Tamandua tetradactyla: one gene and its partners. The protein of the gene in region 1 interacts with the protein of each later gene in a pairwise test. Links are inferred from orthologs where the notes say so. Each region holds a gene or a part of one and is shown on either strand. Other genes may lie near its edges. The genes, in order: FHL2, ID3, CSN2 and GLYR1.

Evidence for each region.
Region 2: the proteins of FHL2 (region 1) and ID3 interact in binary tests that used the Homo sapiens proteins (3 or more experiments, as listed by UniProt). The link is inferred for Tamandua tetradactyla from reciprocal best matches to the Homo sapiens genes FHL2 and ID3.
Region 3: the proteins of FHL2 (region 1) and CSN2 interact in binary tests that used the Homo sapiens proteins (3 or more experiments, as listed by UniProt). The two-hybrid records come from large-scale screens. The link is inferred for Tamandua tetradactyla from reciprocal best matches to the Homo sapiens genes FHL2 and CSN2.
Region 4: the proteins of FHL2 (region 1) and GLYR1 interact in binary tests that used the Homo sapiens proteins (3 or more experiments, as listed by UniProt). The two-hybrid records come from large-scale screens. The link is inferred for Tamandua tetradactyla from reciprocal best matches to the Homo sapiens genes FHL2 and GLYR1.

The regions. Positions count from the first base shown.
Region 1 is NC_135343.1:70,098,415-70,105,986, reverse strand, and holds the start of FHL2 (four and a half LIM domains protein 2), read left to right. Parts: upstream 1-4,552; 5' UTR 4,553-5,517; coding exon 5,518-5,558; intron 5,559-7,572. UniProt on the Homo sapiens protein: May function as a molecular transmitter linking various signaling pathways to transcriptional regulation. Negatively regulates the transcriptional repressor E4F1 and may function in cell growth.
Region 2 is NC_135328.1:202,660,318-202,667,414, reverse strand, and holds ID3 (DNA-binding protein inhibitor ID-3), read right to left. Parts: upstream 2,253-7,097; 5' UTR 2,027-2,252; coding exon 1,727-2,026; intron 1,612-1,726; coding exon 1,552-1,611; 3' UTR 1,529-1,551; intron 1,001-1,528; 3' UTR 520-1,000; downstream 1-519. UniProt on the Homo sapiens protein: Transcriptional regulator (lacking a basic DNA binding domain) which negatively regulates the basic helix-loop-helix (bHLH) transcription factors by forming heterodimers and inhibiting their DNA binding and transcriptional activity.
Region 3 is NC_135345.1:71,316,501-71,324,414, reverse strand, and holds the start of CSN2 (beta-casein), read left to right. Parts: upstream 1-4,900; 5' UTR 4,901-5,033; intron 5,034-6,023; 5' UTR 6,024-6,133; intron 6,134-7,914. UniProt on the Homo sapiens protein: Important role in determination of the surface properties of the casein micelles.
Region 4 is NC_135349.1:52,237,079-52,244,152, forward strand, and holds the start of GLYR1 (cytokine-like nuclear factor N-PAC), read left to right. Parts: upstream 1-4,055; 5' UTR 4,056-4,150; coding exon 4,151-4,188; intron 4,189-5,222; coding exon 5,223-5,259; intron 5,260-6,253; coding exon 6,254-6,333; intron 6,334-7,074. UniProt on the Homo sapiens protein: Cytokine-like nuclear factor with chromatin gene reader activity involved in chromatin modification and regulation of gene expression. Acts as a nucleosome-destabilizing factor that is recruited to genes during transcriptional activation.

The DNA of each region.
Region 1 (7,572 bases):
TTTGGCTTGCTTTAGGCCCCAGCTTCCCGCTCCATCAGGTCTAACTTAGACTTCATGGGGAAAGAAAAAGAAAAAAAAAAAAAGAGTGAAAGGGTCAGAAGCTTAAACACAGCTTTACTAATTACTGGGCTCTTTTCTGCACATTTGCTCACTCCCGGCCTCAGGACACTGTCTGTGCCTAGGTTTGGAAGTTGCAGAGCGTTTGTCTGCATTGTCCTAACTCATCTATCCTCTGGTCCCCCAAACCAGGGGAAACTATTGCAGCCCGAGGGCCTGGCCACTTCTCCATGGTTTCTGGGTCTCTGTCGCATCCAGGGGCCTTGCAGCCTCTTCCCGCCACTTGACAGAAGGTGGTCGCGGGAAGAGCGGTGGGGAACCAGCAACCCCCCCGCCCCCAGCTCAAAGGACTACAGGACTAGCGGGGGAAAGGAGGGAGGGGGTCCCTGGTGTGGAGCAGAAGCCTGGAAGGAGAGGGAAAGCAAACTGCAAAGGGCGTTTCGCTAATAGTCATGCTGTTTCCATTCTCCGCCATGTGTTTTTCATTCTGGTTTGGGTTACTTTTGACTCAAATTATGGAACTTTGTCTTTTGATGAAGGTAACTTAGATGGAATTAATTTTATACAGCCAAAATGAACATTGATTTTTCTCTGGTGGAGCCCAGGATAGTGACGGGACAAAGGCCATGGATTCTTTTGTCCGATGAGCTCAATAACCACTTCCTGAGACCCCAGGGTTTCAAAGAGAGAAAGAGTTTATTACGAGGCACGTAGTAGGTGAGCAGATGGCTTAGAGGCCCCAAATCTGTCTCCCCAAAATGCAGTAATTTTGATCGTTTTGCTAGAGAAAAGATGAACCGAGTTTAGGGTGATGAGCTCAGAGACCCCTGATGATGTAATTAGAGGGGATCTGATATCTGAGCGTGCGCGGTTTGACTACATGCTTAGTTACTGAACATGTGTCAGTAAATGGTAAAATGAAGTCTAGGTGAGTTGTAGGTTAAAGTCTAAGCTACTGCGCATGTCAGATGGGCCCACTTTGATTAGATCCAGTCTCCGTTATCAAGATAACTTTGGACTTGGGGTGGGTTAGTTCCGGGCTGACCCAAGACCCTTTATTAATAAATATTAGGAGCTGTCTTTAGCAGTTACAAGACTCTAAAGTTGAAAAACTGGATAACTGGGTACAAATGAAGGCTAGTCACAAGGTTTTTACAATCACAGGGGCAGAAGATAAGGGCTATGCAGTCATTATCAGAGATCAAGGCAGCTGGATTACAATTTAGAGATTTCAAGGATTTCCCACTATCTACTCCTATATACCAAAAAGTAAAAAGGAATATCTATAGAATGATTCAGTAATCAAAACCATCCCTTAAACCCCGATTTCTCGGTTACAGAATGATGATAGGAAGTGACTAGAAAAGAAAGCACGTTTCTTTTCAGAAAGCTTCCCTCTTCCTTACACGAGAAGAGAACCTATTTTTCCGAGACCCCAGAGCGCTTTGATAAATTCAAATGGTCAAACAAGGCATCCTCTACTGAAAGACAGCCTGTGATGATAAAATGGTGTGGCCTTTAGAATGCAGAAGAGAAAGCAAATACCTCATAATCAAAAAGGTAAGACATAAAGATAAACACTCTCCTACCACGGAAATGGGGGGGCCCTTGTCTGACAATGTCGTGTGAAAACAGCCAGCACTGTCTCTCTAACGGCTAAACATGCTGTTAGGAGTAAAACTCTGTCCACTGAGGTCCCGAGCAAGTCATTTCTTTGCACTTCTGTCTCTTCTCTAAAATGCAGACAATTATACTTGGAAAGGGCATGTTCAGGTTTATGAAACACGCTTTTGAAATCAAATTTCTCCCAAGCAACCATGAAAGTTGAGCCACAGCTTCCAGCCTTTTCCAAAGCTGCACTTTGCCTGCGTCGGAGACATTTTTGCTCCGTGGAATTTCATGCTGTCCAGGTATCGCCGACTGCCTCTCTTCTGTGGCAAAATGCGGAAGATTCTTCATTCCTCTGCGGCAAAGCGCAGAGAGGGGAAGGGAGGAGCTGAGCCGGGATGTGCGGCTTGATGCCCCGTGTAAGTCAGACCCCGTAAAACACCCTCAACCGGTTCTGAGCCTTAATCATCCTACAAATGGACCTTGTGGTTTCCCCTCGGCATCTGGGCGGCACTGAAAGGCAAGAAGCAGGAGAGAAAACTGGTGTTGACACGGACCGTTGAGCTATACTCTGGCTTCATCTTTATCCGAGGGACACAGTGTCTGTTGGATAAAAAAAGTTAGAATGAAAAAGAGTCATTCTGTGATCATTTAGGTATCTTTACCAAAGCAGCCCTCAGCATAACCCAGATCAAGCCTTTCTCAGTCAATGAGTAAAAATAATAATAATAATAATAAAGAAGATCCAAAAATCAACCTAAAGTTGTAATTTGGTGGCAGTTAGGATTTAATTCCATAGAGATTTCTTTCATCTATGGCATTTTGCTTTCAAAGAGAAGTCATATGTGTCAGGCCAAAAAATGAGCAGGAAAATTTATTTTCGTATTTGTTTTAGATTGAATCATGTTCCCCGCAAAGACATGAGTCCTAACCCCTGGTCCTGTGTATGTGAAACCTTTTGTGAACGGAATCTCCAAAGTTCCTATTAAGACGAGGCTGAAGTGAAAGGGGATGGACCTTATTCCTCCATGACTCGAGTCCCTATAAGCAAAGGAAATTCGGGCACAGAAGTAAAGCCACATAAGGAGCCCGAAGGAGACGATGGCCGTGTGATGGTGGCCCCTGCAGGACACCATAGGCTTCAGAAAAAGCATGGTCTGCTGGCACCCAGCCTTTGAAAAGCGAGAGACCATCAGCTCCCATTGTGGAAGCCAGCCAGCCCGCGGGACCCGTGACAGCAGGCCTGACACACGAAAGCGGTGGTCCTGCTATTTCTAAGCTGCTAGTGTTTTGCTTTGCAGATGACTCTCATCGAGCCCTATAATGCCGTAATGAAAAAGTAAATTAAACCATAGGGAAAATGTAGATCAAAAAGGAACATGTACCCGTCTGGCCACCACAATTTTGGTTCCAAAGTAGCTTCCCATCTGCCTGAGCCGGGACGTGCCCGTTGCCGGGGTGGTCTGGGCCGCCCTCACCTGGGGCCCCGGTGGGCAGGTGCCTGCACCTGGGGACGCTGTGTTGGTCCCAGCTCGCGGGGTTCGGGCTGCTAGTCGTCCTCACTCGTGGAACCAACCTCTTAAAAACCTAAAGTCACGACTATGCACAAATCAGCAAGGCTTTAAGCCCTCAAACAGCTGTTTCTTACTATTGCTTTTCCCTTCGGATCAGCATCCCGACCCAGAGCTCTGCTGGGCAAGGCATTGGGTGGGGGGGCTGGCAGGTGTGGGGTGGGGTGCGGGGGGTGCGGCTCCCCTGATGCATCCCCAAGGCTGTCCCCCTGACTTGCTGCTACTCACAACTACAGAAAGCCGCAGGAGGCAAAGTGCTGATGGGACAAAAAAACAACGGAACAAGAAGGCACGATTGAATGCTCGTATAAATATAGAACTAGCATGGTGAGAAGACAGAAACAGCTTTCCTAGTAAATGGAAGAAACTATTTTCTTCTTTTTCTCCGGCGGGGATAGGCTTTGTGATCTCTGCCCCATGCTCTGCCTCGAGCTGGGGAGATTCCACGACACAAGACGGGGTTGCTGCAGAACTGAGAATGGGGCAATTAGGAGGGGAGGGAGATGTCCCACTACCCCCAAGAATAGAGTTTACTTTCTTCACCTCGGGCTCTCTGTACGGTGGTTGGAACGTCACCCAACAGCCAACAGCAGGAGACCCAGCATTCCGACCTCTGGCCTCCTCGAGCCCTCTTGGCCCAGGGCCCCAAATGAGCAAAGCCCTGAGTCACTAGACAAATCACATTTGCAAGGACCCTGTCCCAGGTGCCCCTCGGGGAGCTGGCCATGCTTTGAGGCCACTGGCAAGTTGTGGACATGGGGTAAGGAATTTTTCATCTTATTCCCTCTTGAGATTTTGTTTCTCAAGAGAGGCCCAGATGGGATGGAGTCTAAGCGTGACTCTCCTTCCCCCTGGGAGCTGACCCATGTAGACCATGGGGATGTGGGCCACCATGAGTGCTTGGAGCCCTGGGAGCTGGGCTGCGCCCCCTTTTCTCCTCACCCTCACCCTTCAACTTCCTCCTCAGCCACCCCCCTCACCTGCTCATGTGTCAGATTCTTCCTCTTGTTGCTATTTAGACCATTGTGAATAATTTCCACCTCATTAGTCTTACTAGGGGTGTCCAGTGCCTCATGTCTCAGGAACAGGCAACTGAGTTCTCCAGTCACCTCTCCTCTTGGGGCCTCTAACTCACCCCAATGGACACTCACCTCTCACCCACCTTCTGTTGCTGGGTGAGGCCAAGCTGTGTGGTCTTCTACGGATCTGTGTGTCTGCCTTTCTGAACACAGGAAAGCATACTTTATAGACTGGTGTATATTAAACAAAAGAAATGAAATACCCATATTCATCTATACCAAATTACTATACAAAAAGATACTTTCTAGACATAAGGCCTTAAAGGAGGAACAGAGCACAATCTGTCTGTACCAACCTCATCTGTAATTATTTCCATACAAATGTCAAGTGCAGAACTGAAGTTGTTCGCTTTATTTGACTAGAGTGTTTAGATAGTGGTACCTGGTTTTATAGACTTATTCTCTTGACAGCTGAAGCTGCGACCTACTCATGGGATTAAATTGCTCTTTTGGTTTGTTGGGGTGGTTGTCATTTAACCCCATTGGTCTCTGTGGCTCATTTGCAACAAGAAGGAGGTAAGCGGTGTCTCTTGGGAGGAGGTCTCCCTGCAGTCCTGGACTTTGGTCTGGTGGCCACTGCCATGTCAACCACATCTGTCAGCCCTGGAGGCCAAGGATTCTGCTCACTCATCCAGGAACATCTCCTGCTGAGCCTCCAGCAGGCTTCCACAGCCACTTAAGAGACCCTGAGTCATCAATGAGAGTAGGCTTGGGGCACTAGCTACACAAACCATGAGTATCGCTCTTTCCCACTTACCCTCAGAATTAAATATCCCACCCGCACTGCTTGCTGGGCTGCTATGACAAATAGCACACAATGGGATGGCTTAACAACAGGAATTTATTGACTCACAGTTTTGAGGCTGGAAGTCCCAAATCAAGGCATAGGCAGGGCAATGCTCTCTCACCAAAACCTGTCGTGGCCTAGAGTCAGCTTGCTGTAATATTTGGGGCTCCTCGGCTTGCTTCTCTGCCTCCCACAGTGGGCTGAGCTCCCTTGGGTGGGCTCCTCTGGTTTCCACTGACTTCTGGCTTCCTGCTCCTCAGATTTTCTTCCAGTAGCTTTCGCCAACTCTCAACTTCTAGTGCTTCTCTTTCTAAAGCCAGATCTAAGAAAGAAGACCCCACCTCATTCAGTCGGGCCAGACCCTTAACTGAAAAGAGCACCTTCAAGAGTTCCTATCTACAATGGGCTCACACCCATGGAAATATGGATGAGGATTAAGAACATGTCTACGTTGGGGTTCGTAATTCAATCCACCATACTTCTATTACAACAAAATATAACCTCCTCCAGCGTACATGTGGTTTAATCCAGTGGTTCTCCAATTGTGGTCCTTGGGTCCCTAGGAATCCCTGAATCTCATTCTAGGGTTGTGTGAGGTCAGATCTATTTTATTAAGGATAGTAAGCTCTTACTGGACTATTTCACTGTATTCACATTTATTATAGACATAAAAGCAGTGGTGGGAAAAACTGCTTGTGCCTTAGCTAGAATGAAAGCAGTGGCAGCAAACTCGATTAGAAGCCATAACATTCCCCACCCCAAGCACTAGCAAGAAAAACAAAAATCCAGTTTCATTTAAGAAACTGACCTTAATGAAGTGGTAAAACTTACTAATTTTATTAAATCTGGACCCTTGAACATGCATCTTTTAAATATTTTGAGTGACCAAAGAGAAGATGCATGAAGCACTTCTGCGCATATCAAAGCACCAAGGTCATCTTGAGTACAAGTCCATGTGTGAGCATGAATTGAACTAGATGCTTTTTCTGTTTTTACCGGAAAGAACAATTGACAAGCTATGATTATTCAGATTTTGGTTGCAGATATTTTCTCAAAAATGAACAGAGTCAGCCTGTCAATTTAAGGAAAACAACTGAAAGTATATGTTGCCAAAGATAAAATTTGAGCTTTGAGATGAAAATTAGCATTTTGGAAAACTTAGATCAGTCACAGTGATCTTCCCAATACTTCTAGGTTTTTCTGAGAAGATGGGTGGAGATAGTAAAGATTGTGATTTTTTTTTAATAAGAGAAGTTGCAGGTTTACAGAAAAATCATGCAGAAAACACAGAGTTCCCATATACCCTATAACCCCTTGCATTACTGTGGCACCTTTTTCACAATTGATGAAAGGATATTATTATAAATGTTCTAGTAAAAATAGTCCATAATTTACATTAGGGTTCACTGTGTACAGTTCTATGTTTTTTTTTAAAGCGTTGTTCTGGTAACTTATTTGCACATTTAAATATATAATTCTGTGGTGCTAATACATTCACAATGCTGCACAGCTGCCACCGTTATCCATTGCCAAAACTTTTCCATCACCTCAAACAGAAATTCTGTACCAGTTAAGCAGGAATTCCCCTTTATCTACCCCCACCACAGTCCCTGCAAACTGTATTCTACTTTCTAACTCTATGAATTTGTTTATTCTGATTAATTCATATCAGTGAGATCAAATAATATGTGTCTTTTTGTGGCTGGCTTATTTGACCCAACATGGTGACTTCAAGGTCCATCTGTGTTGTCACATGTATCAGACCTTTGTTCCTTTTCATGGCCAAATAATATTCCATTATATGTATAGACCACATTTTGTTCATCCATTCATCTGTTGATGGATACTAAGGTTGCTTCCATCTTTTGGTAATTGTGAATAGTGCCACTGTGAACTTTGGTGTGCAAATGCCTGTTCAAGTCCCTACTTTAATTATTTGGGGTATATATGTAGGAACGGGATTGCTAGGACATATGGTAATTCTACACCTAACTTTCTGAGGAACCAGCAGACTGTTTTCCATAGTGACTGCACCACTTTATAGTCCCACAAACAATGAGCAAGTCTTCCTGTTTCTCCACATCCTCTCCGATACTTGTTCTTTTTTTCTTTTTTTAATAGCAGCCATTCTAGTGGGTGACAAACGGCGTCTCATAGTGGTTTTGATTTGCATTTATCTAATAACTAATGATGTGGAGCCTCTTTTCCTGTGTTTTTGGGCCATTTGTTTATCTACTTTGGAGAAATGTCTATTCAGTCTTTTACTCATTTTTTAATTGGGTTGTTTGTCTTTTTCGTTGTTGAGTTGTGATTTTTTGACGTTGTGTAATTAAATGTGTTCACATTTCATAAATCTACACAATGAGTAGTTTCTAAATATTACAAAATAATGCACAATTTAAATAATGCACAATTTAAAGTTCAAGGTAGACCAAATGTGTTTTAATGTAACTGGACATAAAAATGTACT
Region 2 (7,097 bases), on another chromosome or scaffold:
ACTAGACATCAGTCTATTCATCTCTCAAATGGGTGTATCAACTACCACAGATGTCTGGGCACCAGATAAGATAAACCCCAGGTTCCCCTTTCGACCTCCCCTGCTAGAATAGGCACATTGAATAATCTACCACACTAACAGCCACTTGCTGTTAGATCTAGCCAGCAGATCTAAGAACTGGAACTCAGGAGACCTCAGTTCTAGCCTGGGTCTCCAACTTACTGGGTGAGTTTGTGCCCATCACTTCCCCCTCTGGTCTTTCTGTCAAGTGTAAAATGAAGGGGTAGGGCCAAAGATCTTCTCTGCACCCAGCCATCAGTGGACATGGGGCTACCATCACAAGCCCCCTCTCATACTGCCAAACCCAGCCTCAGCCTCAGGCCAGGCATTTTCCCAGCTCCCTCTTCAAAAAATAAATGACTTTGCCTTTAAGCCCCAAGGACATTTCTTCTTTCCTGAATTCAACCAATGTGAGAAGGTATGGGGGATGCAGGTACCCAGTCAGATTATATACACAGGTGCTTAAAAACCGTTTATTATGCAAAATGTTAACTTTTATAAAAAGTTTAATATACATCGCATGGTTACAGAAAGTCACCTTCCTGTAAAAAAGGTACAAAAAGCTATATACTCTATTATAGAGTTCATAATCAGGGCAACAGAGCCTTTCTCCAAGGAGACCTGAAGACCAGCCCTACCTGCCTTGGCAGAGTCTGGAGAGCAGCCACTTCTCCCCATACCTCCACACTCTGAAAAGACAGTCTTTAAACTTGGAAATGGGGTGGGGGCTGCGTGACGTGGCCCAGCTGGTACCCAGAGCTAGCTCTGGCTCTTCAGGCCACCCAAGTTCACAGTCCTTCGTTCCCGGGCGCCAGGTCCAGCCTCGAGGCGTTTGGGGGAGTCGCGTGGGCAAGGGCGAGGTTGGGGTCCATCCATGCCCTTGAGCTTCCGGCCGGAGGGTCCCGGGGTCCCAGGCAGAGCGGGCGCCAGCACCTGCGTTCTGGGCGGGGGAGGGATGGAGACGAGGGAGCCGTCAGTTTCCGCCCAGCGCGCCGAGGCTGGGGCCGTCCGTAGACTGGCCGGCGCCAGGGAGGAAACTTGGTCTCTACCTCCAGCTGATAACTCCGCGCCCCGCGCGGCCCCCACCCAGTTGGCGCCAAAGGACCACAGGCGGAGCTTGCGCCACCCCACCCCTTTGGAACTGACACCAGTTAGGAGGGGGAGGAGGAAGACTGTTCCAAAGTCTCTTTACAACTCCAAACAGAAAGGCTATTTAGTCGGATCCGCGCCTATTTTTCCTGGTCTTTGGCCAGAGGAGAGCAGGGATGCTGTCGTTTTAATGCCGGAATACACCATTAATGGAAACTGGTTCTGCCATTCATTTGAAGCGACTGCCACGGGCAAGTCCCTTGCCCCTTTTTAGGCTCACTTTCCCTAAACTGAGGGGGCGGCAATCGCCAGCCGAGTCCCGGATTTGTCGTCTAAGCTGCTCTCCTCCAGCGGATACCCCAGAGGAAGGGATACTCACCTGGAGTTGCCAGGACGGCAGGGTCAGTGGCAGAAACTCCTTTTGTCGTTGGAGATGACGAGTTCCGGGGCGAGTTCGGCTGTCTGAGAAAAGAGGGAAAGAGAATTAAGCATGACACGTAGATGCTCTGGGGGGTCCCACAGCATCCCGACCTCGCGCGCTCAGCCCCGCCTCAGCGCCGCGCACGCCCGAGCGCACCTGGATCGGGAGATGCGGGCCGTCTGGGGGCCCGGGAGCCGGCTCGGCCAGGACCACCTGCAGGTCCAGGATGTAGTCGATGACGCGCTGCAGGATTTCCACCTGGCTAAGCTGAGTGCCTCGCGGGACTCCGGGTACCAGTTCCCGCAGGCGCGAGTAGCAGTGGTTCATGTCGTCTAGCAGGCTCAGCGGCTCCTCTGCGGCCGGGCCCTTGCCGCGGCCGCGCGCGATGGCCAGGCTGCGCTCCGACAGGCAGCACACCGCCTCGTAGCAGCCGCGCACCGGGCTCAGCGCCTTCATGCTGGAGACTGAGGGGAGAGGTGTCGAAGAGACGAAGACCGCAGGACACCTAGAGTAGCTTGCGACGCGCTCACGCGGGCGGCCGCCTGGTCTTATAGAGCCGCCTTGGACGGCACGCCCCTTTATGCAAAAATAGCCGCCCTGGCTCCGCCTCCGCTCACCCTGGGCGTTCACAAGCCGGTTAAATTGCAAACAGGCTTCCTCCCGCTGGTCTGACGCCGAATACCGCCGAGCCGCGGATTCAAAGAATGAGGAAACGCTGATAGTGGGGAGAGGCGGGCCTCTTCGCCAGGAAGGATTTAAAAACTCACTTAAAACCATTAACTTTAAGAATTTGCCTTTTTCCTGGCAGCGCCCCAGATCTCTGGGCTCCCCTGCCAGTTCACCCTCAGCCCCAACACTGGTTCGAACCCACGGCTCGTCCGAGGTCATAAATCCCTGAGCAGAAAAGAAGCTTTTTTTTTTTTTTTCTTAAAAGCAAAAGATTTTTTCAAGGGAAACTTGTAAGGAATTAGTGCCGCCTTGTTCCCCAATTTGCTGTTCGTCTGACCTCCAGACTCACTGGCGTCAGGAATTATCTTGTGACCAGAGGGGGGGAAAAATTAATTGCGGTGAAGCTGAGGTTACAATGAAGAAAACAGATTTGGGCTAGGCGCTGAGATTGCAGAAGGAGGAGGGGAAGGGGTTTTGAGCAAAGAACACTACTTTTTTTTTTTGAGCAACAGGGGAAAGGGGGGAGAAAGAATAGTTGTCTGAATCCATGCTTTTTTGTATGGAGAAGGAAAAGCCCTCCAACCTTCAGAGCCCATGCATTCCATAAGGACCCAAATATATGACCCAGTCATGTTTTGGAACAGGGTTAGATTAGAAGTTTGGACAGGGTTTTTAATGTGGGGGAACAAAAGAGAGGAGATTTCTCCATCAATCTTTTGAGCACCCCTTCCCCCCATTCCATCAGTGAATCTTGCTTCACCTGTTTCCCCCCCACTCTCCACACACCTCTATAAGAAAACAAAAGCTTGGTAATTTCGTTGCTCTATTGTCTGTCCCTTTCCACTGTGGATGGGCAGGCCACCTGGACTTGATTATTCTTAGCCCTTCTGAAATAGCTCCAGCTGTATCTGAGAGCCCAGGAAAGGGACCAGAGGGCAGCAAGCTAAGCTCTGTGTTGCAACAGGAGTTGTGTTCAGTCTTCTGTGCCTGTATTCCTGTCACCTCCTAGGACTTTGGGGAATTTGCAGCCCCAGAGAGCTGGTTTCCATCTTGGAACTGACAAAGTGGAGTCTCCCAATAGCTGCTTCTTAGTCAATCAGTTGGTAAATATTTATGGAATTGCTTTGAAGGCATCTCCTGCTCCTGCTCTTAGGAATCTCACAATCTGGGGAGACAAGATTAGCACAGGAAACATTAAGAGTTCAATTGCGTGTGGCAACTAATTAACTGGACAGTGGGAGCAAGAAGAGTCTCAAAATAGTTATAGTGGAAAGAACACCGAACTGGGGGTCAGGAGCCAAGGGGTCAACATCCCAACTCTGCCAATAATTTGTTGAATGATATTGAACAAACCCAGGTACCATGACCTTAGTTAAAGCCTTGTGAGTCAAGAGTGGAGATGGTGCTCATTATTATTTAAAATCCTTTCCAACTAAGTCCAACAGAAGTCTAAGGCTTTATAAAGTTTGGACAGGCAAGTGAGGGGTGGTAAACAGCCCAGAGAGAGGGATATAAAACATGTTTAATGTTATACCACAAGTAATGGCAGAGCCAGTCCTGGAGCCCCATTCTTTTCCATCATACAGGGCTCTGTGTCCTAAGAAAGAGGTCTTCGAAAGAGTTCTTCCTGGAATATTAATATTTTCAAGGATAACGTTTTTAGTATAAGAAACCGGAAAATTTACCCATGAGTCAATGAATGGGTCTGTATATGCTAAAGAAGTCAAGTGAAGAGCGTGCCGGCTATTTGGTCATGGGAAGGGAAAATGGTGGCCGTGGAGGTTCCTAAGTGACCAAATAGAGGATCCTTTCCTTTTCTCCCATGCACACTTCCGTGGTTTGTACAGAATGACCAAGGCCATGAGGTTCTGGAAAGATCATGGCTTTCAGGCCAGACAGATTTATGTTCAAACCCCCCATTCTTCCCTTTTACTAACTGCGTGACCTTTGGGTAAGTCACCACCTCTATTTGCCTCCAGTTTCTGATCAATAAAATGGAACTAATTAGACCTCCCTCATTCATTCAACAAATAATTATCGACTGCCTCTTGTCTGTTAAGTGTCTGATATGCTTTCTCAACCTCACAGTCTTTCGGTGCCTGGGGTCAGGTGTGTGGTAGGTGCTGGGTGCTTGGTCACATTTATCATTTCACAGAATGGTTCCAGCCTGAAATGTCCTAGGGCTGTGTGACCTAAGACAGGAGAGTTTCTCAGGATCAGCAAACAGAATTCTGTCCTTGCAGGGTGGCCTTGGGGCAAATTTCCTTCCTTTCCTGGGCCTAATTTTCTTCAGAGAGGGGGTGGGGAGCGGGGTGGTGGTAGCAAGATAGCGTCCTTTGCAATCTTAAGATTCGAAATCTGTGAAAGAAATCGGTTAAGGTTGGGAACGCTCAATAGAGTTTAAATCCAAGAGACTTCTTTTTTCTCAACAGCAGACGGGACTGGTCGGGCCAGCTCAGGCCCTTCTGCAACTTTTTTAGCGGTGGCGGGGGCCTCAGCCTCTTATTCCAAATGCCTCTGAACTTTCTGTTCCCACTTCTGCTCCTTTTACCAGCTTTTTCCCCCCTCTTGCATTTTTTATTTTTATGAAAGGATGTCATTAAGGCTTTTGTCTGCGCTGTTTTTGTTTCAGAACTTTTCTCACAATCCTATTTTTTGTTGAGGAATCCGCTCCTTTGCCCAGCTGTGGGTCCCGGTCCCACAGCTGTGTTGATCTAAGACTCAGCCCCAGACAGCCTGGCGCCAGGGTGGGACGTCATGCGTTCACACAGGGATGCGTGTCCCAGGCAACCTTTCCTCGGGCAGTCACCGGCCGGCGACTGCCGCCCCCACCAATGAGCGCCCGACACCCGAGAAAGGGGCGGGGTTTGAGCCGCCGCACCCCGCGAGCGCCTTGTGAATTGCAGATGTTGAGAACTTGATAAGTTCCTCGCTTTGGGGCCCTTTAAATCACCCCCCCCCTTTTTAGTTATTTCTTTCTTTTCTGTCTTTAGTGTATTCCTCTCTTCTTTCTTTCCACCTTCGTTCTTTATCTATATATATATACAGTTTTTCTTCTGCCTTTTTAAACTATCTCCTCCCAGTGTCAGGAATCATTTTGTAAGCATTTCCAGGAACTGAATCTTCCTCTGCCAAAATTTAAAAAAAGAAAGAAAGGGGAGAAAAAATTCAAAGCTATGCTCTCGGATTTTTGAAGAGTTGGCAGAACTATTAAGTTATACTGTTTTGTCTTTAAAATTTTAAAAAGTGGTGGGGGTCACTGAGCTGTTGATTTCAAAGCCAAAGTAATGATGATGAGGATTGCAGATGTCTTTTTGCTTAAACTGAGCTGCTATCTCCGCATCTATCGATTTTTCTCCCATTTATAGCGTACAAGTGGGGGTCAAGGGGACCACGGAAACTTACCCAAAGTTTCCTGGCATATCAGTAACAAACCTGTGGTCCACACCCAGACCCCACCCCTATCCCATCCCCTGATCCCCTTTCCACTCTGCTCCCTAACTCTCATTAGTATTGGGGTGACCAGCTGTGTTATCGGAAAATCCCCAGTTGCTGCATCTCCTAATATATACTTGTTTGCTCACATGGTGCCTGTAATAGTGTGTTGAGGATCTCCCAGCATATAGACCACATTTCTTCTCTCCTCACCAGGACTGGACCCCAAATGACTGCTTAAGACTCAGGTGGTACAAGGAAAGCAGAGAGGATCAGAATCAGGCTGAGGCTCGAAAATCCTTGGGTGGGTTACTTGTCTGCCTCAGTTGTTTTACCAGTTACAGATGGTAAAATGCAGAAGAAATTAAAATCCACCTACCTCATCACTGGGAGGACCCAGGGGGACAAGAGATGGAAAGTGCTGTGGGAACCAGTTAATTCTTTTTTATCTGCTACAATATGATGTAGGGTGGGCCACAGTGGCTCAGCAGGCAGAGTTCTTGCCTGCCACACCAGAGACCCGGGTTCGATTCCTGGTGCCTGCCCATGCCAAAATATATATATATTTGGCATGGGCAGGTATATTTATGATGTGTATATATATATATATATATATATACATCATATATATATGATGTAGCCCTTGAGGAGGAGGATACTTGGTTCCAGTTGGGGCTGTTCCCAGTGATGTGGGGGGATTTCTAGAGCCTCCATCCAAGATGGACTACTCTACAGCTCAGAAGTACTCAGTGCCATCATCATCATTTTCATTGAGTCCTGTTTGCCTTCACACATGTTGTCTCATTGACCCATTTTATGGACCAAGTGACTGAGGCTCAGAAAGGTTAATATATTGGTCAAGGTATGATCTTGTATGACAGTAAGTGGCAGACCCAACATTGGCATCCAAGTTTCCACTGTCTCCAAAACTTGCCCCCTTTGTGCCCTATGCATTTCCTTCTGACCCTACAAAGGGCCTCCTGAAAAGTTAGCTTGGTGCTGAGAGGATTAAATTCTACAAGGGCGAGAACAGCAAGGGGAAATCCACCAGGTAGGAGAGATACTAATGTATCGAGACCTTAAGGGAAAAAAATTGTTTTCTAAACAGAGAGACTCAGAGAACTTTGGAAATTTCTTGGCAATTTGAAGCCCCCCCAACCCCAATAATTTTCCAGTCCATGCTTTAGGGAACATTTATTTTTGAATAAAGTAAAGAATGACTACTCCTGTTTTTAGGAATCAGCTTTGGAGTTGCACTCTGTCCCTCTCTCTCTCTTACAATCCAGAGGTAGCCTACTTAGGTCTAGGTACACCACCCCTAGACTAAAATAACCCTTTACTTCTGCAGGTGGGCAGTGAACATGGGATATTCAGGGGCAGCCTTGGCATCTAGGATGGAGAGGTGAGTACCCACAGGGAAGCA
Region 3 (7,914 bases), on another chromosome or scaffold:
TTTATTCTGCTTATAGTGTTTTGGTGAGGATTTTTGCATCTACATTCATAAGAGATATTATTCTGTAATTTTCTTTTCTTGTGGTATCTTTATCTGGGTTTATTATGAAAGTGTTGTTAGCCTCATAGAGGGAATTAAGGAGTGTTTTCTCTTCAGTTATTTGAAAAAGTTTGAGCAGGATTGGTGTTAGTTTTTTTTGGAATTATTCTGTGATGTTATCTGGCCTTTTTTTTGTTGGGAAGGTTTTGATTACTGTTTCAGTCTCTTTTCTGTTTATTGGTTGTTCAAATTACTTATTTCTTTCTCTTATTTCTTATATTTATAGCATTTTTTTCATTTCTATAGTCTTCATAGTTATCATTTTAACAACTGCCTAGTATTCTATGTTCTTAATGTACCATCATTTATTGAACCATATCCCTAATTTCAGGAATCCTGGGTCATTTCCAATTTTTTACTAGCCTCCGTTTCATTCTCATGAAAAGGAAGGAAGGTCTTTTGAGGAGTATTGTCAAGTTGATTAAGGTAATAATCCTCTAACCCTTTCTTGAAAGTCTATACTTGACTTTCCAGTGTTCTAGACAAGAATTGCCAGTTAAAAGAACTCTCAGAGGGAGAGCAGCCAGCATGCAGATTTTGGAAATGCTAGGAGTTGGAATAAAGCAGTCAATGTGTTTTGCCCTGTTCTGTCTCTGGCTATCCTATAGGATACAGAATAATGCTACATTTGTTTTCCCGGACTGGGTAGATGTTTAAATAAACCTTGGTTCACATCCCAGATCTAGTTCTTACCCACTGGGTGGTTTGGCGAACATCCCTTAAGCCGGACCTCAAACCCTCATCTGCAAATGAGGAAATTTGTCTGGATTACTCTATTTCTTCTTAATCAGTGTAGATAGTTTGTGTGTTTCTAGGAATTTGTCTATTTCATCTAGGTTATCTAATTTATTCACAGTATTCCCTGATAGTCCTTTTGTTACAGCAGGGTTGGTGGAGAGTCCACCTCCTTTTCATTTCCGATTTTAATTCTTTGCTTCCTCTTTCTTTTTTCTTTTGTCAGTCTAGCAAAAGGTTAGTTAATTTTATTGATCTTTTCAAAGAACCAATTTTTAATTTTGTTGATAATCTTTGTTGGTTTTTGTTCTCTGTTTCTTTTTATGTCTGCCTTAATTTTTATTTCTTTTATTCTGCTTGCTTTAGGTTTAGTATGCTTTTATTTTTCTATTTTTTTTTTTTCAGTTTTGAGATTAGGTCATCCTGATTTGAAATATTTCTTCTTTTAAAATACAAATATTTAGAGGTATAATTTTCACTCTTAGCTCTCCCTTTGCTACATCCCTTAAGTTTTTGTATAATGTACTTTAATTTTCATTTGTCTGAAGATGTTTGGTAATTTCCTTTATAATTTTCTATTTAGTTCATTGGTTAAGTTGCTTTATTTCCACATATTTTTAAATATTCCATTTTACCTTCTGTTATTGATTTCTAGTTTCATTCCATTGTGCTTTGAGAAGGTACATTGTCTGATTTCAATATTTTTGAAATATTGAAACATTTTGAGACTTATTTTATGACCTAAGATGTGGTCTACACTGGAGAATGATTCATCTGCATTTGAGGATTATGTGTACTCTACTGTTGTTGGGTGAACTGTTCTATATATGTGTATAACATCTAGGGTGTCATTCCAGTATTGTATTTCCTTATTGATCATTTGTCTAGATGTTCTAACCATTAGTGAAAATGTGTATTTAGATCTACTATTAATGTGGAAGTGTATATTCATTCTTCCTTTCAGATCTATCAGTATTTTCCTCATATATTTTGGGGCTTTTCTATTAGGTGCATATATATTTGCAATTGCTATATCTTATGAATTGTCCCCTTTATTAGTGTGAATTAGCATATGTGTCTCAGTTTTTGATGTAAAGTCAGTTTTATCTAATATTAGTAGAACTACCTCAACTCTCTTCTGGTTCCTACTTGCGTTGTATACTTTTTCCATTGTATACTATTTCACTTTCTACTTACTTATGTCTATGAACTTAAGGTGAGTCTCTTGTAAATGGCAAATAGTTGGGTCACGTTTTTAAAAAATCTTTTCTGTCATTTTCTGCCTTTTGACTAGAGTGTTTAATCTGTTTACATTTAAAATCACTCCTGAGAATTCAGAATTTTTTTCTGCCATTTAGTTGTTGTAAGGTTTATTTGTTTTTTTGTCCCTCAATTCTTCTGTTAATGTCTACTTTAATATTTATTTATTTATTTTTTGTATTGTATTTTTTATTGTAACATTTTAAGTCCCTTCTCTTTTGTATAAGGATATATTTTCCTTGTGGCTACCATGGGGTTACAATCTAACATCGGAAATATATAATAATCATATTTTATTTGATAGCAACTTGACTTCAGTAGTATACTACTATGCCATTCCTACACCCTCCCTCTGTCCCCCTCCCTTTTTTTTGTACTGGTTATGAATCATATCTTTTTACATTGTAGTAAAAATTATTTTTTTTTTTACTAAGATTTTCCATTACTTTTTATGCCTTTGTATGTTAGCTACTGTGGGAAGTAAGAAGTGGAGTTGCTTACCAAAAAATAAAATACAATATTACTGGCGTTTATATTCACCCAAATGCTTTGAACTGTTGTCTACCGTCCTTTCCTCCCAGCCTGAAGAACAACCTTTAACACTGCTTGTAGTGCAGGTCTAGGGGTGATGAACTACCTCAGCTTTTGTTTCTCTCTCCCTCATTTTTGAAAGTCTTGCCACATATCAGATTCTTGATTGACAGTTATTTTCTTTCAGCACTTTAATTATTTTGACCCAGTGCCTTTTTGCCTCCATGGTTCCTAATGAGAAATTGGCAATTAATCTACTTGAAGTTTCCTTGTGCATACACTGCTCTTCTCTTGCAGCCTTCAGAACTTTTTCTTTGTCTTTTGCATTTAACAGTTTGATGGGACCTATTTTTCTTCATGTTTATCCTGTGTTGTGTTTTTTTTTGGGGGGGTGGTTTCTTGGATGTGCATATTAAGTTTGGGAATTTTTCTGTCATTATTTGTTTGAATATTCCACCTGCTTCTTTCTTTCTTTTTTTTTTTCCTTCTCCTGGGACTTTCATGATGTATTTATTGGTATGCTTGATGGCGTCCCACAGATGTCTTAGGTTTTGTCACTTTTTATAATTCTTTTTCCTTTCTGCTTCTCAACTCCAGTTATCTTGTTTGTTTCCTTTTAAAAACTTCTCTCTTTTTACTGAGGTTCTCATATTATTTGTTCATCATTTTTCTGATTGTATTAGCTTGTTAAGCTGCTAGAATGCAATATGCCAGGAATGGAATGGCTTTTAAAAAGAAAATTTAATAAGTTGCAAATTTACAGTTCTAAGCATATAATTTTATACTTGTAAGCCTTTAAAAATGTACAAACTAAAGCATCCAGACAAAGATACCTTAATCCAAGGAAGGCTGATGGATATGGAACACCTCTGTCAGCTAGGGAGGTGTATGGGTACTCCAAGCATCTCTAAACATCTGTGTCCTGAAGTAACTGTCCTTTGAAATATTACCCCCTTTAAAGACCTCTAGTAAACAAATCAGACCCACTTTGAATGGGTAGAGTCACAACTCCACCTACTTAAAAGGTCACACCTTTTGATAGACCTTTTGGGCATGCCACATCTCTGTGGAGATAATCTGATCAAAAGTTTCAGCCCTACAGTACTGAATCAAGATTAAAATAAAGGGCTTCCTCCACAAGATTGAATCAGGATTAAAACATGACTTTTCCAGGATACACAGTAGCTTCATACCAGCATACTGATATTCTTTAATTCTTTCTCAATATTTTCCTTCATCTCCTGAGCATATTGAAGATCATTTTTTAAATACTGTTTTTATAGTATATCCACAATCTGGTTTTCTTCATTGATATTTTCTGGATTTTTATCCTCTTCTTTTGGATGGGCTGTCATTTCCTTTGTCTCTGTTTGTCATGTAATGTTTTGTTGCGCACTGTATATTTTAATATTTTAAAATGTTAAGTCTGGGATTTTTTCCCTGAAATGTCTGTTTCTTGAGTATGTAACCAGGTGGTGATATGATGGAGATTTTCTTGAGTGTCAAGAGGTAACAATATGGAGCAAACGTAAGCAAAAAGCACTTTTCACTGTCTTTGCAAACCGACTTGGAGTTGTTTGGTTCTTCATCAGAGCTGCACTCACATATCACGAAGTTCAGCCCAAGGTGAATGCAAAGTGCAGGGCCCTTCTTGTCTTTTTCTGGGCCTGTATCTTGTCCTGGGCTTGTGCTTCCTGGAGGCCTTTGGATTTCCCCTTTTTATAGGACTTTGAATGGCTCTTGTACCTCCCAGAAAACAGATCTTTATCCTCTTGTGTGTATTGTACTGCTGGACTTAAAACAGGTAATCCTTTGCCCAGGCCTTCTGACTCAATTGTTTCCTACAGAACTTTTATTGTCTCAAGCTGCTTTTGCCTGGCAGCCAAATTCTGGGTGGGGGTGAGGCAGGGACACTAGGGAGGATTTTCCCAAGTCAGTCTTTCCCAGCCAGAATAAGGCCAGGAACCCATATGGTGAGCTTGCCAGCTACAGACTGCCCTGGGGAGGGTTAAAAGAGGGTCCAGGGAAGGTGCCAGGAACTTCTTACAAGGCTCCCCTATGCTTCACTCTATTGACTGGGCCCCTGCCCAGTAAATGCAGCCTTTCAGCTGTCCTCTAGAGCTCTGAGGAAGCATACTGTCTTAAGTTTCCTCTGTGGCCTTTGTCTGGGGCAGGTTGGAACAATGGTCACCCTCAGGGCCAGGGCCCTAGTGATCCAAAATAGATCATCAAAAGCAGCTATTGGTGATTGGCCCATGTTCCACCTTCGCACAGACCTTCGGGGCAGTGGATATTTTTGTCCTTCCCTGGTACCAGCAGGCTACATAAGGGCCTGGACCCGACTGTTGCATGTTGCTAGAGTGGGTGATGGGTGATGGTAACCACTGTGTGGAGAGACTCGTTTACAGGTATTTACTGTAATTTTCCAGCTTCTTCCTCTTATTCTTTCCTGGATACTGTACAGTATTCTAGCTGATTCAAACAGTTCTGGCTTGTTTGATCATTGTTCTGGTGGAGGGACTGATTCCTAGTACTTCTACCTCTCCATCTTCCCACCTTGACTTGTTTTAATTCTTTGCCCCAACACCAGCAGGACAGCTCTCTCTTAACAGTATCATCTTTGGTGAGGTATCCACTCAGATCTTTTGTCCTTTTTAGAATTGTTTTTAAAAATTGTTGCTGAGTTTTAAGAGTTTTTATGTATTTTAGATACAAGTGCTTTTCAGATATGTGTTTTGCAGAGATTTTCTCTCACCCTGTGCTTGTCTTTTCATTCTATTAACAGTGTCTTTGGAAGAGCAGAAGCTTTAAATTTTAATATAGTCCAGCTTATCAGTTTTTTCTTTCATGGAACATGGCTTTTGTGGTGTACCTTAAAAGTCATCACCAAACACCAGGTCACTTAGATTTTCTGTTCTGGAAGTTTTGTAGTTTTTTATTTAACTTGTAGATATATGATCCATTTTGAATTAACTGAACCTAGAAGTCAGCAAAGGTGAAAGCTTAGTCTTAAGTATTTTGTTTTTTGGAGCATTCATCTTTCTTAGGTATGCTCATGACTTTGTAAATTCCTTAGTATGTATGGTCACTTTTCTATGCTCTAATTTCCCAATGAAACTCTTCTCTAGCCCCAATTTTCTCTCCCATCTTTTTGGCCTGCTTATCCTTTGCCTCAACTGGACTCTTTTGTCCCAGATGGCAGTGAATTTTTCATTTGACTTACAATTTTGGGGGGAATTGTCCTCTGCGTTGTCACTTTTCTGCCCTGAAAGATTTCCTTGTTAGGTGAAACAAAGGCAAGCACCTTGTATCAGAACTTCAGGAAGCTCCCAGACAGGTCAAAAAGGACAAGTACACTTTTTTGAGAATAAGATCTGCTTTTCTTCTTCTGGAACCAGGGACCAGGGTCCATGCTGGGAACATGAACTGTCATTTTCAAGACCATTGCCCAGCTGGGAAGTGGAGTAAAGCAAGGGCAAGTAAGATGCTCAAAGTCTTCCAACCATTTGTAAGTTGCCTTTTTCTTGATTTACTTGGTTGCTTTAAACCTTTGACTATTTTTAAGAATTCTAATAAAGTTGAACTGATAGGTTTTGCTTCATTTCTCTATATTTCTTTGGAGTGATGGGTCTTTAAAGCTCTCTACTCAGCTATTTTCACTTACATGATCTCCTATATAAAGATCTTTTCTCCTAGACCTTGTTAACTAATAAGATTTTTTTTTTGTAGAGTCCTTGTTATTTCTACATAGATGATAAAGCATTATTTTAAAAAATAATCTTTGTGGCTTTTACTTTTAAAAATTTTCTTAATTCACTGTTAGAACCTCAGTACAATTTTGAATAGAAGTGGTAAGAGGCTTCTATGCCCTTTTCGTGATTTTAGGGGAAAGTGTCAGTATGATGCCAGGCATAGGTCTTTTTGAAGGTGCTCTTTGTTAGTTTGAGTAAATTCATTTCTATCTTTAATTTTGGCATGAATGAGTATAGTGTCAAATGCTTTTTCTATGTCCTTTGAGATGATCATGGTTTTTGCTTTAATCTTTCAGTATGGTGGATTGCCTTGATTTGAAAGTTAAGCTAACATTGCAGTCCTGGAATGAACCTCCTTTGATCAGTCATTTTTTTAATGTGTTGCTGGATTTGGTTTGCTAAAATTTTATTAAGAATTTTTAAGTTTATATTTATAAGGTATAATTTTTTTCCTTCTTTTATAATGCCTTTGTCTGATTTTGATATCAAGGTAATGGTGGCACCTTAAAGTGAGTTGGGCAGTGTTCCCTCCTCATATTTTCTGGGAAAATTTCTGTAGAGTTGATGTTATTTATTTTTTAAAATACTGATTTGATTTCTCTGTAAAGCCATCAAGGCCTTTGCTTTTCTGTGGGAAATTTTAAAATGATGTGTTCAATTTCTTTAATAAATGTAGACCTATTCATGTTGTCTATTTCTTCCTGTGTGAGCTTTGGTTGTTTGTGTTTTTCAAGGAGTTTGTCTGTTTCATCCATATTGTCAAATTAATTGATGTGAAATTGTTCTTAACATTCCCTTATCTATTTAATTCACGTAGGGTCTGTAGTGGTATCTTTTCTCTCATTTCTGATATTGGCAGTTTGTGCCATCTTTCTCTTTTTTGTCTTTGATCAGTGTCTAGAATTGATTTTATTGACCTTTTCAAAGAAGTACCATTTGATGTCATTGATTTTCTCAATTGGTTTTATGTTTCATAGGTATCTGGTTTTATCTCTATTACTTAACTTCTTCTGAGTGTTTTGGCCTTAATATATTCTTCTTTTTCTGGTTTCTTAAGATGATGCTTATGTCACTGATTAGGGAGCTATCTCTCTCCTGGCATAAGTATTTGATGCTATAAGATTCCCTTAGCAACAAAATAATGCAAAACAAACAAACAAAACCTCCAGCTGTAGAAAAAAAAGAAAAGAGAATATCAAGTACTGGTTATTCAGAATTATCAACCCTGTCCTGCCCTCCTTCTCTCTTCTTTCCCAGATGGCACCCTGGTACTTTCTCACTGCCCTTAACTCAACTATAAAACTCAAGCACCTCCATGCCTTCCTCAGAGTTGAATTCTACCCTTCTTCCTTCCCTTAGTGACTATGAATAAAGTCATCCTTGCCTGTTAAAAAATTCCCTTAGCACTGCTTTAGCTATATCCTCCAAAATCCTTTGATTTTGTATTTTGATCCATGGGTTATTTAGAAAAAAGTCATTTAATTTCTTATTATTTAAGGAAACTTTCATCTATCTTGCTGTTATTTAATTTTAGTTA
Region 4 (7,074 bases), on another chromosome or scaffold:
CTGGAATAAGCAAAAAATCAGCATCTCAGTGATGTATGTATGGCTAAACTTATTTTTCTAACAAAGTCACTGGCACTTGACCACCAGCCCTCTCCCCATTCAAACGTGGGCCTTAACAAAGTGACAAATGATCACATGCCAAAGAACTACACAATTGTGTGGGAACGTCCAACATAGATTTGGAATCTAAGAATTCCAAGGGTTTAGAGAACATAAATATGCAAACATACATTATGTACTTTTTTGTGCTACAGGAATAATTGTATCCTATTTTTACAAACTTACACCCTAATGTGAACTTTTATTTCAATAAAGTTATTCATTGTAACCTTGTTTACATAGGGGAAAATGGTGGAAACAACCCACATGTCCAGTGATAAAGGAACAGTTGAATAAATTGTAGATTTTAAATTGATTTGTGAGGCTCCTTGATATATTACAGATAAATATCCCTTTGCCTCATCACATAAATCATTATTATAAATCATTTAATCTCTCACAAGTACTCTTCCTGGCTTATTCCCTATTTAAATTTTACTTAGAATGAGGCAAGCTGAAAACTTTCTATGCCCTCAAAATTTTTTTTCCCTTGTGACTTCTCCTGTTTCTTCCATGCTTAAAATGTACTTCTCCAACCAGATCTCACATAAGAATTTATCTACACAGTCTTTTATATACTTTTCACATTTAACTATTTAACCCAAGTGGAATATATTATGCTATAAGCTATGGCGTGAGGTCCTAACTTGATTCTTCCCAGTATCAATCACTAAATAATCCCTCTTATCCCTGCCAATTTGGCATACATCATCTAGTAAAATCCCATGTTTCTTATGGTCTATTACTGAAATCCATCCTGCTGTATGAATGTAGTAGTTAAGATTTTTTTTAACTAATACCATACTGTTTTGAAGTTATACGGAATATTTTAAAATCTTGAACTGAAAGCTCTTATCACTCTTTAAAAATACCACTACCACTCCAGCCTACTTATTATTTCAGAACTTTAGAAACATTTTGTTGAGTTCTCCCAAAGGGGCTGTCAGTTTTTATTGTAACTGAATCATAAGTGAGAGTTGTCAAGAAGATGCTATTTCTCATATATATCTCTTATAAATCCATATATGTATATGCATTTGTATATATCCAATACTTATTTTCCATTATGACACAAAACCTGGGACATACTGATTCACAAGGTTGTCAAATTACATCTCAGTTGAAAGGAAAAGTTTAAAGGTCCCTTCTAATAGAGCAGACAAATACTCTAAGAAGAGAATCAAGTTAATCAATGGGATGCAAGAAGGTCATTCCGGGAGTGGCAACCAGGCAAATGCTAGTGTCCCTGTCCAGTAAGAGATTTTAAAATGTAGCCTTATCTTGGTCTGTTTTACACATCGTAACTTCAACCCACCTAAACTTCAACCACTTCTTCGTTGAAGCCTGAGAAGCCAATGGTATAGAAACAGAATTAGAGGATAAAGCAAATCAAAGATATAGCAGATTAAGACTCATGGGTTAGATTTTGGGTGAAGTTTTGTAATCATCATACTGTATTATTGTTTTTTATTAGGCCATCTGAAACATTCAAGAGAACTGGACATTAATGAGTGTTGTGAGATTTACAATTTTAATTTGAGATGCTTAAGAAAATATAATTAAGTGTGAAAGTGTTTGCACTTTTTTTTTTGAGTGGGCAGGCACCGGGAATCAGGTCTCCTCCAGCATGCCAGGCAAAAATTCTGCCACTATACCACCATTGCCTGCCCTGTACTTTCTTTCAAAAAGAACCAGATTTCCATTTATAAGTTTATTAGACTTAATGACAATTGCTTAAGTCCTCAGAAACATTTATGTTAGGTTTCTAAGTTTACTTTTTTAGACGTCTGAAGTATCTACAAGAATCAAGCATCTAAAATTTTAATTACAGAGTAATATGCTAAAGAAAATTGAACTTTGTAAAAAGAGTTATTTAGGGAAATTTGATATGTTAAACTGGTTTCTTACTTGAACTTTTGTCAAAGATCAAGTATTTTTATTTAAAAAGTCCTGTTATTTATAAATAATACAAAATGAGTAAAATTCTATCTGCAAAATCATCCCTCTTAAAAAACCTCAACTGAAATTAAACAAGAATGGCACTTTCATCTATTTCCTCACGCCTCCTTTTGTATCTCAGATTATTCCCAGGAGCTTTTCGTTGTTGTCATTGTAAACAGAACCCATTAACCAGAAAACTGAACTTTGTCGATTTTGCAGTTAGTTTTTCTTAACTCTAATTTTACTGGTTTTCCTCGACTATTCATTTCTTCAAAATATGCAATTCTATCATCCCGGGAAATGAGTAGTTTGTCTTCCCCTTCCTGAAAAATTATATTTCTTATTTTTTGTTTCATGCCTTATTGCATTGGCTAAAACTTCCAGGCTAACATAAGACAAATATTCTTAGCCATGATTATAACCTTAATGGCAATGCTTCTAGAGCCTGCATGACAGTAATTTAAAAGGCATCTATCTCTTTTATCAAGTTATTAAATATCCTTCAATTCTTCAAATTATAAGACTTTGTAAATTACGAATGCGTTTAATTTTATCAGACTGTTTCCTGGAATCCTAAATACGCTTTAAATAACCAGTTTACCTTTAAAACAAAACAATAAATGACACTTCCTGAAACTGGCTCACGGTACTTCAGAGAAACTGATCTAAGAAACCCGGCGTTGAGGCCAACTCAGCAAGCTAAAATAAAAACCCACTTACCAAGTCTGGATATGACAAAACACATACGCGAAATGCGCGCGTGGACCTCGCACCTTTTCCAGGAAATCGCTAACTCCGGAAAACTCCGGTTCTAAATCAAGCGCTAAAATCACTCCTCGGAGTCTGAAACCGGGACTGGGAGCTTTTCGAAAATTCTATTTGTTTCTACCAGGTACCCTGGAGTTTGGGCAGGCGCTGTGCCGAACTGCCACTGAGAGTCTCCCTTTAACGGTTTAACTTTCATGCGTCGACACCACGCTTGGCATCTGACTCCCTGTGGGCACAACCGCCTGATCCCAACTTCTTCCAAAGTGTCAAACTACAACGAGGCTTACGTGAGCGTCCGGTCCGTACACGGACACGCACCTTCGTCCCCCGCGCCGGCGCAGGCTACGGCCCCGCGGGCCGCACGCGTCCCCCCGCGGCTGTCCTCATGCCGGCCAGGGGCCCCAAGCGGCGGCGCGGCTAGCGGCCGGCTTCCGAGGCATGGCTCCCGGCGGGCGGCCGGCCGGCGCTGCGGCCCATGACCGGGTCCACGCGCGCCCGGGACAGCCGCGTCGGCCGTGCCGCGAGCCGGCCAAGAAGAAAGCGCAGAAGTGCCGCCTCGAGGTCCGCGGAGCAACTCGGGGGGCGGCGGAGCAGGCTGCCAGCGGGCGCCCCGGGAGAACTTGCTGCGCCGGACCCGCACCCGAACCGCTGGCCGCGCGAAAGTCGGCCGCGAGAGCGCGCCAAGGCACCCGGACGGCGGCGGGACGGACCCCCTCGCCCGCAAACAAGCGCGGCGTTCGGAGCCCCCGGGAGCTCGGGGCGCGGAGACGAGGGGGGACCCGGGCTGAGGCCAAGCAGAGCCCACCGGTCGCGGGACCCTTGGCTCCGGTTTCCAGGCCGCGCCGAGGTCCGTCAGGGGAGCTCCCGGGTGCAGCGACGAGGCCGGCCGGCGCCTCAGGCTCGGGAATGGCCCCGGGGCCCGCGCGGAACTAACGGCCGAAACGGAAGCGCCGAAGGGGGGAGGGGGCTGGAGTCCAGGGCCCCGGGAGGCGGGGCGGGCCTCAAGGCCGGCTCCCTCACGCGCTCGGCCAGCCGCACGTCGTCGCTTCCGCCGCTGCCTCAGACCGCGGGCGCTTCGTTGTCACGAGCCGAGGAGGTGGGGCGGGGGGGAAGGCGGGGAAGGAGCCGGGAGTCTAGGGTCTTCGGCTAGCGGAGACCGCGGCGCCCGAATCACGTGCCGCTCGACCGGCTAATGAGAGATAGAGGGCGCAGTGACGTCAGAGCAGCGGCGTGGCCGATGACAGCCGGCCCTCATCACGTGGTCCTCCTCACTCCAATGGGCGGTGTCGAGGCGACCTGATGTTCCCGGCGGCCTGTGCGGCGGTGGTGGTTGGGTGGTAAGATGGCGGCTGTGAGTCTGCGGCTCGGCGACTTGGTATGGTGAGTCCGGGCGGCCGGGGGCAAGCGAGGTGCTGGGGTGCTGCTCTCTGGGTACGGGGTTCACAGTCAGCCCCGGAGCTGCCCTTCTCTGCGCTTTAGGCGGCGAAGAGAGGGGAAAACTAAGTGCCAGCGCTGGGAGCGACGCCGGGCGGAAGGGGCAGTTCGGCCCCGGGGGACTGAGGCCGAGGGTAGCCGCGGTGAGCTCGACTCTGAGCCCCGAAGCCGCCCGAGGGAGGCCTGTGCACAGGTCCCAGACTTAGGCGGCCACGGTACAGGGAGCATTCGGCCGCCACACGGCTCCCACGGCTGGGGTCTTGGTGGGGCTCCCCGAAAAGCAGGACAGCTGGGGAGCCCGTGAGGCCAGTTTACCGGGCAGGCGGATCAAAACCTCCGCGTTGCGATGGATCCGACTTGTGCTGGCGGTTCGACCCGGGATGTCGAAACCGGACCACTGGCGCTGCTCGGTGAAGAAATGGAGGGGTACTTCTCCTTTACAAGCGAAGGCTTGGCAGTGAACAGTGAATGCCTTCTTGGGTATCTTTCGTGGTCTGCGTCTGTGTCCCAGACAACCGCTCGAACTAAGACTGACTGTCGCCGCCTCCCTGGAGCTGCGTAGCTCGTTTCTCGATTCCCCGGAAGAATTTCGTTAGCATTTGTCAAAGCCGGCTTGGTCTCGTGGTGAATTAAACCAGATTTTGGAAGGGGAAGTCTGTGTTTACGGAAGAAACTGCCCTCCATCCGCGAGTGTCCAGGAGACTGGACAAGTCTCATGGTTTTTCTCTGTTCCTTGTCATCAGAGGAATGCACCTAGCTCTTCGTGCACATATGTATATAATTTTGTATCTATTTCTGAGGGTTTGGGGCCATCTCAGGCCCATTGTGGAAGTCAAATTAAGAACTCCAGTTTGCCAGCTTTTTTCTGGCTCTTGAGAGTGCCGGCCGAGATTTAGAAAAGTAAATTGCAGGTTGCGTGGGCTGAAGGAGATGGACTGGCTTTCCCAAGGCAAGTGCCTGACTCTTTGTGTTTTCTCTAGGGGGAAACTCGGCAGGTATCCTCCTTGGCCAGGAAAGGTGAGTGTCTTTTGCTTCTAAAGGAAGATATCTGAAGTTGTGTTTGGGTATGTGGGGAATGTAAAATCCATTCCTCCTGGTTTCTAGCATTAATTTGAGTAAAACTCGGCCCATTTAAATAACATTTATTCTGAATTTTTAACGTTTGTTCACAATTTTTTTTCTGAGCTGTCAGTTCATTTAGAAAAGAAAATATAAGCCATGTCATTTAATCTGCAGCACTTATTTCTTGATTCATAGCTGATTTGTGTTGGTCTTTTTTGTTTTAACTCTGAAAACCAATTCTAATTGGAATTTACCTTTTTACTTAAATTTAATCACAAACAGCAATTATCCAGGAAGAGAGAAATCTAAATGTAGGTTAGTTAAAAAGTCAAAGTATTTTTGTGCTAACGAAGTTTAAGTCTTCTTTTCATTTTACCATGTGTGCTTGCTCCCATGCATCTTTGCAAAAGTTGACATTCTAGCTTCTGCACACACAAGTCAGTCCATCATAGCTCTCCAACGTTCTGTCTTTACTTTCTTGTTAGCAGTCCAGTAAATATCTTTGGACTGTCTCTTTGGAATGTGGCATTTTCAGTGCCTCTTATCCTTTGTTTTCACTGTTACCTGCCTCATGAACTCCACCTGCACAAGAAGTATTTTTAAGAGTGTCCTCAGCATTACTTCATTGATGAGACAGGATCACTTTGGGGAGGAAAAGATGTGGATTTTAGTTTGAGCTGTTTTTAAAATGGAGCCATGGCAGTGAAACGGGATATGGGGTCTGCTGAATTCAGTGCCATATGTTAGGTAGAGGACACCTGCAGAATATTTGCACATTTCCACACATCTCAATAGAAAAGTGCCAGATTTGGATATGTATTAGGCCCTAGGGTTCCTTTTTTAAATACATATTCCTCATTTATTTATTTTTTCTTACCAGTTTAGAGCTGTGGAAAATTACTTTGTAGTGAACTATATTGCCATCAAACCTCTTCTTTTTATTGCCCAGATTGTTAATCCACCCAAGGACTTGAAGAAACCACGTGGAAAGAAATGCTTCTTTGTGAAGTTTTTTGGAACAGAAGATCAGTGAGTAATGTTCATCACGAGTTTCACTTTGCCTTTGTTTGGATGTTACCCTGGGCCTGAGCTGCTCTGAGAACATTCTAGGATCTTGGTTCAGTTTTATCCTGTAGTTTGTAAGAGTAGCATATCATCCTGGCTTCATACCTAAACGAAAGGTGCTGTTCTTACTGCATAGAAATTGTCGTGGGCACCTATCCTGGTGCTGATGACTATTTCAATCAGGTAAGAACCTTCTAAATAAACTAGTCCATTCAGTTAGCTTGTCACATCTGTCTGTCTACATCCACGGGCACTTCCTTTTATAAGAGCCATGTTTGGTTCTCTTTTAATGGCTGCATACCATTGTAGTTCATGCATCACACATACAGTGAAAACTGAAATGTTTTTTATCTTAATAAAAGTAATTTTAATTTTAAGTCTTGTTCTCTTCTGTAAAACTAGGTCATTTGCCCTGACAGTGTAACAGTAAAGCTTTTTTTTTCGCATGCGCAGGCACTGGGAATCAAACCCAGGTCTTCAGCAAGGCAGGCAAGAACTCTGCCTGCTGAGCCACCGTGGCCTGCCCTAGTAAAGCTCTTTAACCAGATATGTCCTAGAGTTGAGAAAACTAGGGCCATTAATTTGAGATTGAAATCCTTTTACCTCACTCTCCAGGGCCATATAAGAAGCCACAATGAGGGAAAGAGTATATATTACATGAGTTTTCTGTGATTTGTTTAGCTTTCTCTTCACTACATCCAGGTG